Linked DNA regions of Cricetulus griseus. The protein of the gene in region 1 purifies or fractionates together with the protein of each later gene. This does not show direct contact. Links are inferred from orthologs where the notes say so. Each region holds a gene or a part of one and is shown in the gene's direction. Other genes may lie near its edges.

Region 1 (3,813 bases):
AGTACTTCATTATATGAATATACTGTATTTAATTTTTTTAATTTATCCACCGCCCCCACCCCGTGTACACATGCCGCTGTGTCTGTCTGTCTGTGTGTGTTTATAGAAGTTAGAGGACAACTCTGTAGAACTGACTCTCCTTCCACCTTTATTTACCTGGGTCTGGGGATTGAACTTAGGTTAGTAGACTTGAATGGCAAATGCTTTTACCTGCAGAGCCTCTCTCAGCCCTTGTACTTTAAAATAATGAAAAGCTAGGATTACAGATGCACACACTACCACATCTTGTCTTTATGTAGCTTTGGGCAGTTCATACTCAGGTCCTTATTACATGGCCAGCATTGTACCTACCCACTTAGCCAAGGTCTCCCCAACCCACTTGTGGTGGTTCTTTCTCCCAAGATGGGCCCATCTCTATTGCCCAGGCTGTTCTACCTTCCTGCCTCAGCCACCTGAGTAGCTGGGATTACATGCATTCACTGTTGACTATCATGCTCAGATCTGAGGTTCTCTCTCTCTCTCTCTCTCTCTCTCTCTCTCTCTCTCTCTCTCTCTCTCTCTCTTTCTCTCGTCAGTTTTCTACTGCAAGCTGCTGGGCCTTCGACTGGCATTGTGAGGAATTGATAGACAGGCTCCTTGTAATTGACGCGCACCTCACTGTTGCTCTCATGGATTTGTTAGGCCCTGCTTTGATTGTTTTTGTTCCATTTGGGCATTCACTTTGGCTGTCTTCCAGAGTTGGTTTATCCCTCAGATGCATGGTGTGTCTGTTGTTGTCCCTGCCTTTCCTCTTCACAAGTTCTTTCTACTGGCATCCTTTATGTCTTGTGTTTGTTCTTTGCTTCTGAGTTGAGAATTTGGTTCTGGTACCTGGCCCTCAGCCTGCCTGCCCTTCTGGGCCGCTCAGAGCTGTGTGCTGTCTGCTAATCCTTTCTTCCTCAAGTCTTCACCGTAGAGCTCACCTGTTGGCAGCTGGATGTGTTTGTTTTCCTGAATGTGTTCTGAGCTTTGTTCTAGGATGTAGTGGCTTGGAAATGGATTAATCCTTTCATGGTCTGTCTTTACACTTGGCTCTGCTGTGCTAGAGCAGCGTGTAATCCAGGCTGATTCTGCCAGGCCCCAGACATGCTCTCCCCAAGCCTGTGAGTCTGGCTAGCGGGAACAGGCTTGTTTTCAGACTGTGGCAGGGATATTGTTCCTGCTCTGCCATATGGTCCTTTCCCCTGGCTTCCCCAGCCCTACACTGACCATCCTCAGTAAAGATTCACTCTGGGCCTGAGCTCTGGCTGCCCTTACGTCCCTGTCAATAGACACCTTCTTCCACAGGTCCTGCCATCAAGCTCCATCTGAAGGGGTGAAGGATGTTGCAGGATTCTCCTCATCCTGTCATTTTACTTGGCATTACAGACTTGAAAACTGATGCTTATTATTTTATCATATTTAACATTGTTTGTGTGTATGTGTGTGGACACATACCACATTCATGCCCTGCACATACCATAATACACATATGGAAGTCATAGGACAACTTGGGGAGTCAGTTCTCTCCTGCCACGTGAGTCTTGAGTTTTAGTACAAAGGTTGTCAGGCTTGACGTCACACGCTTTTACCTGCGGAGCCATCTCACCAGCCATGTTGCATCAGACTATTCCTGTGCTTTCCAGTTCTTTTCCTACACAGGAAGTGGAACCTGTCCTTGTGACTGTGTGTCTTCTCAGTTGGAGGTAGATGTCTCCATCAGTGTGTTTGAAAAGCTGTCCAGGGCTGCTCCTGTGCCCTAGGCTGGTAGCTTGGGTGGAGGAAGAGAGTTGGGGCCCAGGTTGGCAGGCCTGGGCTTGAAGATTGTATCACGCTGCTTAGCCATCACACTTTGGGGAAAAGTTCTGAGAAGTCCTTGCCCCAACTCCCAAGTTTATGGGTGTGTCCTAAGCAGCCACAGGTGCTGGACTCTTCAGTACAGTCCCAGAGCCCTGAGTTGGGGGCCAGTTTGGTGTCTGGTTCCCTTTGTGTGTCTTATGGTGGACAGGTAGCATGGGTCAAGTTCTGTGCAGGTAGCAATGTGTTACTTGATCCTTCCCTAGGATCAGGGTGAAAGCAAACAGACAGAAATCACAAATCTGAGCTGCTTTGATTTGTGTAGAATGGATGCTCTGTTAGAGGACTGAGAGCACATGGGCAAGGCCTGGCTACCTTGTGAGGGAATCCAGTCCCCTGCAGGAGTGTTACACTGTGATCCCCAAGTTGCCCTCTGATACATTCCCTGGGTCTACTGGGCTGTGCATCCTCTGGCCCCTTGGGAGGCCTTCTCACAGTGTCTGGGACACGGCCTATGCCTCAGTCTAGACCCTGCTCCATTCTGCCAGTTCCCTATCAGGATGAAAATTGCTTTCTGCATTTTCATGTGTTAGTGTTAGAAACTGCTTCAGCTCAGTAGCATCCCTGTACAATGTAGCTTTGTATGTTTTGCTTATTGTTTTCTTGGACTGAGTTCCCAGACCTATGAAGTCATAAATGAAAGAAAATAGTCCTGTTCTCTTTTAAATCTAGTGAAAACCATCATATTCTTGTTCTTTAGTAACTCTTCTCTTACTATTGTTTCTTACCATGAGCTATGACTCCTATAAAGAGTCAGGCAAGGAAGGCCAAGGAGATAGCTCAGCCTCTCAGTGGGGTATGTAATGGAGGCCAGGCTGGCCAGGGCCCAGTGTGTGACTGGCACGGTGTTGTGGGTGAGGCCAGTACTTGTTGCTCTCACTTTGTAGGTTTTCTTCCTGAGTCCTAGAGTCCCACACCTTGCTCCTCACCCCAGTGTCTGAAGCATGCAGATACATGCATCTCTGTGCCTATGTACCCTGAGATGGCTACTCTAGCTAGTTGTTACTGTGCCCTGTCCTTAGGGCTGGGGGCCCAGCCCTGGTTTGTCCCAGACCAAATGAAGGATGATTTGACATCAGGTAGCAGGATGGAGTGGCTCCTCACCCCTTGCATGTAATGGCTAGCACAATTTTGTAAGCCTGGAATGTATGTTGGGTGTGCTGCTCTAGGGTTGTTTCCCATTAGCTTGGCCAAGCTCACAGTATAGACCATTTGCTTCCTGGTCCTGGGAACTTTCCAACTGGCACACATCATCAGGCCTCAAACTTTGTCCCTTACAAAGGAAATTCCACCTATGTCTGTGACCCTATACTCTTAGTGTTCCTTCCTGTCACTCCACATGATGCTCCTAAGACTAGTTTGGTTTCACTCAATGTAATGAAACGTGAAGCGTGCCTGCTACACACATCTCAATGTGTGTTTTAACATGTGCACAGCATGGAACTGCTTCACAGGTCTATGTTCCTGTGGTCTTAGGCCTCCATTGCTTTGTGGCCCAGGGACACCCATCTCATGAAGGTCTTTTCTGTGCACACAGGCATTTGGACAAGCACACACAAACCACAAAAAGGTGGCTGCTGATGGTGAGAGCCGGGAGGAGAGCCTGATCCAGGAGTCAGCCTCCAAAGAGCAGTACTATGTGAGGAAGGTGCTGGAGCTGCAGACAGAGCTGAAGCAGCTTCGCAATGTCCTCACCAACACTCAGTCTGAGAACGAGCGCCTCACATCCGTGGCCCAAGAGCTAAAAGAGGTAAGTGCATGGACATGGCCTCTTGTCATTGTGCCAGTGGGCTGTTTGGCCGCTTCAGCTTCATTGAGGCTGCATCTTGCTCCTGTGGTTTCTCAGACCTGAACATACAAACAGTTCTGTGTCTGAACTGTGACCATCTCACTGGTGTCTTGAGTAACTTGAGCAGGCCCTGACCAACAGGTAGGAAT
Region 2 (4,360 bases), on another chromosome or scaffold:
TTCTTCTTTTTCCACATCTTTGCATGTCCACATCTTCCTTTCATTTGTGAGTTCCTGATATTGCTAGACATCCAGTTTGAGTTCTTCTGGCACCACTATGCTTGCCTTTGTCTCTGCCCTTAGACCTTTGTTATTTATTTGTTGGTTGATTTGTTTTGGTGTGCGGTACTTTGACCTTAAACTTCAGGGCTTGGGTATATGTAGTAGATCACAGTACATGAAAACTTGGCTTTAAGTTCTACTCTTTAAGTTCTAGAAAGCTTTCAATTCTATGGGTTTCATACTTACTTGCTTCCGGGAAGAAAGATGAAAGAAAATATTATCATTGGTAACTGATAACAGTCTTCTCCAAGCCTCTTGTATTTGAAAATGCTTCTGGTCCTATTATCATGAACATTGTCATGGCAACACTAAAGTTAAACAAACTTCAGAGCTGGAAAGATAGCTTAGCAGTTAGCACACTTGCTGATATTGCAGAGGACTCAGGTTCAAGTCTCAGCACCCACACAGCTCACAACCACCTGGAACTCCAGTTCCAAGAAATCTAACACCCTCGATTGGCCTCTGCAGATTCAAAAATGCATGTGGTACACATATGTACATGGAGGCAAAACAATCATACACATGAAATGAGTATTTTATAAAAAGATAAATAAAATTGACCCCTATGTGGATAAATTTTCCTAAGAGGTCAACACAAGGGTAACTCCTATTTCTTGTGTATATATCAACACCCTTTATGTGAAAGAGGTCAGTGCCAAAATAAAGAATATTGCATTCAGTATGCAATGAAAGTTCATAGAAATAGTGTTGTTTAGGAGATGAAATTAAGTGTGACAGTGGGAGGAGTTTACAGAAAAAATTAGCATTTCAGGATGCATATCCTATCAGGCAAAATGAAGTTTCGCTAAGCTCCATGTTTATCCAGTCCGCAGACACCTGAGCTGGGCACACTCTAGGGCTCCTGACAGGCCATTTTCTTTGTGCAGTTTGGAGATATATTGCTCCGTTAGCATCCAAACCTGAAGTCATCATGCTGATTCCTTTTTGATCTTCACTGACTCCTTTGTTTATCTGTGAAGAAACTTGTGCAGAAAGCGTGTTGCTCCCCTGGAAGTGCAGTGCTGTTCTTTTTCAACCCTGATGACAACATCAAATTTCTTCAGCATTTACGGATACATAATAGAAAAGGAATCACAGAGTGAGACCAAACCTAAGCTCTTTCTCTTCCTCAACACAGACCAAATAATACAGCCTATTATTACCCCTAGTCACATTTGCAAGCTGCATTTCCTTTTAAATTATTTTGCAATGACAGCAAAAAAAGATTACTTAGAGAGTGTCACTTTCTCTCCCTCCTTTTCTCCAAGGAAGCAACAATGTCTGACAAGAGCGACCTCAAAGCAGAGCTGGAGCGCAAAAAGCAGCGCTTGGCCCAGATAAGAGAGGAGAAGAAACGGAAGGAGGAAGAGAGGAAAAGGAAAGAGGTGAGGCTCGATTGGGGTGTTGTGGGGTCAAAGGGTCACTGGGATTCAAGGAATCAGTTAGGTGGACAAATAGGACCCTCGAGAGAAATCTGAATCAAGTGTGTGAACGTGCATCCACACACTCTGAAGGGAGAGGTCATCTCTCCTTGATAAGTGATGACAGGTGTCACGTGAGCAATGGCTCATAAATGGCTCAAAAGTCTACAAGCCGGGTTACCCTGGACTTGAAAGAACCCTGAGGGTGGTCCATGATCTCTTTGTCATTAGATATTCTTTATTCTTTATGGGCTGTTTTCTATTTTGGGAACAACGATTGGTTTTACTTCATGGAACTGCTAAGATTAGGATGGGCTCCCCTCCCACTGCCTGAAACTTAGGATATAGTTCATACCTGTGTTAGTGTTGAGAAAGAAAGAAAAAACAAAAGTCTTATTTATTTAATTTTGTATAAACCTAACAGTATGAACATTCTAGAAGACAAAGTGGATCCAATGTCAGTGGATTTCCAGTGATTCCTACACAGTGTGCATTTCCCATGGCCAATAAGAATCCTCAGCTTGGTTAAGAAGGAACCATTAGGAGGGTGGGTGAGTAAGATAGAGTACAGTGTTAGGCGTTTCAGCAGAAGGAGGCGTTCTACTGTCACTAAAAGTTTTCTTCTTTATATCACCAAATAGCAAGGACCCAGGGGCAAGACAGCTTTTCTCTTGGTAAACTCAAGTCAAAGACTCCTGAGCCCAAATTCAAAGCCTGTCATATGTCTTCTACCATCTCAGTCTGAGAAGTGGTGCATTTTTTACTCTCCAATTTGTTGTGACGGTGTAGAAACTGCCCAACTGATGCACAGAAACCAGATGGCAGATACTTGTGAATAGTTTTCTAGACAGGAAACTTTGAACAGGGTGATATGCCCACCCAGAGAGAAACTGGGACTGCTCCCCACACAGAGACTGTTTTTTGCAGGAAGAAGAAAGTGCTTTGATGCCTCGTAGTCTAAATAAATACTGTTTCATTCTACAAGTTTAAGAGTAAAATAACAGATTTACAATGTTTATCATTTCCCAATAATTGCAGTTGCAGTTTAGCCTTATGGCTTCCCCCATCTCTTTGGGCTGCACATGATGACTGATGTGATAGTGTGTGTGTCCTTGATATCCTACACAATGATTTCCCTGGGAGATCTTTGCTACTCTGTATGCAGGTTGTAGCTGAAACCGAGGTGAGAACTGACAAGGAATGGCTACTCATTTCCGTGGGGAGGAAAAGGCATTGTGTGATTGTGTTTCCCTTCTTTCAAATGTCAACAGCTACTGTATCTTTAAAGTGCCTGCTATTCCTTGCTAATAATGGGTTTTCTTTTACACTGACATTCTAATATCCAACTTGAATTTCACAGAATTACTATGAAGTGTGATGTGATATAGGAAATCTCGCTCCAAATTAGGCTGTCCGCTCTTTTTTATTTTGCCTTGGGAGAATCATGGGCCAACCAATCAAATTGAAGCTGTTTTTCCTTCCTTTCTCTCTCTGGCTCTCTTTCTTTCTTTCTTTCTTTTTTTTCTGGTATACCAGGCAGTTTTGAGGAGTAAAGGTCTCACCCCCTGCATAGCAAACAGAGCTTCCAGGGGCTTCTTTCTGCATGTTTCAGGCCTCCACAAGCCTCTGAAATTCAAATTACAAAAGGACTCACTGTCTCCATTTCTTTCTTTTTTTTTTTTTTGATTTTTTGAGACAGGATTTCTCTGTGTAGCTTTGGAGCCTATCCTGGCACTCGCTCTGGAGACTAGGCAGCCTCGAACTCACAGAGATCCTCCTGCCTCTGCCTCCCGAGTGGTGGGATTAAAGGCGTGTGCCACCAATGCCCGGCTCCATTTCTTTTTTAATTAATTTTATTTAAATTAAAACTATCTTATTTTACATGCCAATCTCAGTTCCCTCTCCCTCCCATCCTCCCCTTCCCCCCAAAAACCCTCCATCCACTCCACAGGGAGGGTGAGACCTCCCATGGGGGATCATCAAAGTCTTTCACATCATTTGGGGCAGGACTAGGCCCTCCCCCGTGTATCTAAGCTGAGAGAGTGTTCCTCCATAGGGAATGGGGTCCCAAAGCCCATTTGTGCACTAGGGATAAATAATGGTTCCACTGCCAGAGGCCCCATAGACTGCCCAGGCCTCCTAACTGACACCCACATTCGGGGTGCTTGTTTTGGGTCCATGAGCTCCTGCTTGTTCAGGTCAGCTGTCTCTGTGGGTTTCCCCAGCATGGTCTTGGCCCATTTGCTCATCACTCCTCTCTGCAACTGGATTCCAGGAGTTCTCAGTACTTGGCTGTGAATCTCTGCTTCTGCTTCCATCAGCTACTAGATAAAAGCTCTATGATGACATTTAAGGCAGTCATCAATCAATCTCATTATAGGGGAAGGGCATCCATTTCCTAACTGACAGGGCCGCTCGAAGTCACCAGGGCAACTCATAGTCCTACACTTCCATTCAGAAGATTCAAACCACGGCTCAACTTTGGGATGCACTGGCTGTATTGTATTAAGTTCTGCTCTGGCTTTAAATGTCTCTGCACAATCTGGTATCCCTTGAGAAGCTCTTTCCATTGTGTCATTTAACCATCTCTAAAACAAACAAGCAAAAACCACTTGTCTGTTGATGTGGTGGGTGAATGAGAGCGGGGCATTTGTGTGCTATAGCAAACGGGTGCAGCCCATTCACTCCTTCTCCTATGTGGGTCCCAGTGATTGGACTTAAGATAATCAGGCTACTTATAGAAGTGTTATTTAATATTTAAGGCTTACATCTCCAGAGAGATAAGAACCCATCACTATCATGGTGGGGGTGCTGACTAAGGGGGAGCATGGCAACAG

Evidence for each region.
Region 2: the proteins of Bicd2 (region 1) and Dync1i1 purify together in Homo sapiens (affinity purification with western blotting; 4 studies listed by BioGRID and IntAct, with this or other methods). This does not show direct contact. The link is inferred for Cricetulus griseus from reciprocal best matches to the Homo sapiens genes BICD2 and DYNC1I1.

What each region holds. Positions count from the first base shown.
Region 1 is NC_048596.1:269,172,728-269,176,540, forward strand, and holds part of Bicd2 (protein bicaudal D homolog 2), read left to right. Parts: intron 1-3,412; coding exon 3,413-3,625; intron 3,626-3,813. UniProt on the Homo sapiens protein: Acts as an adapter protein linking the dynein motor complex to various cargos and converts dynein from a non-processive to a highly processive motor in the presence of dynactin.
Region 2 is NW_023276806.1:219,166,828-219,171,187, reverse strand, and holds the start of Dync1i1 (cytoplasmic dynein 1 intermediate chain 1), read left to right. Parts: upstream 1-1,379; coding exon 1,380-1,487; intron 1,488-4,360. UniProt on the Homo sapiens protein: Acts as one of several non-catalytic accessory components of the cytoplasmic dynein 1 complex that are thought to be involved in linking dynein to cargos and to adapter proteins that regulate dynein function.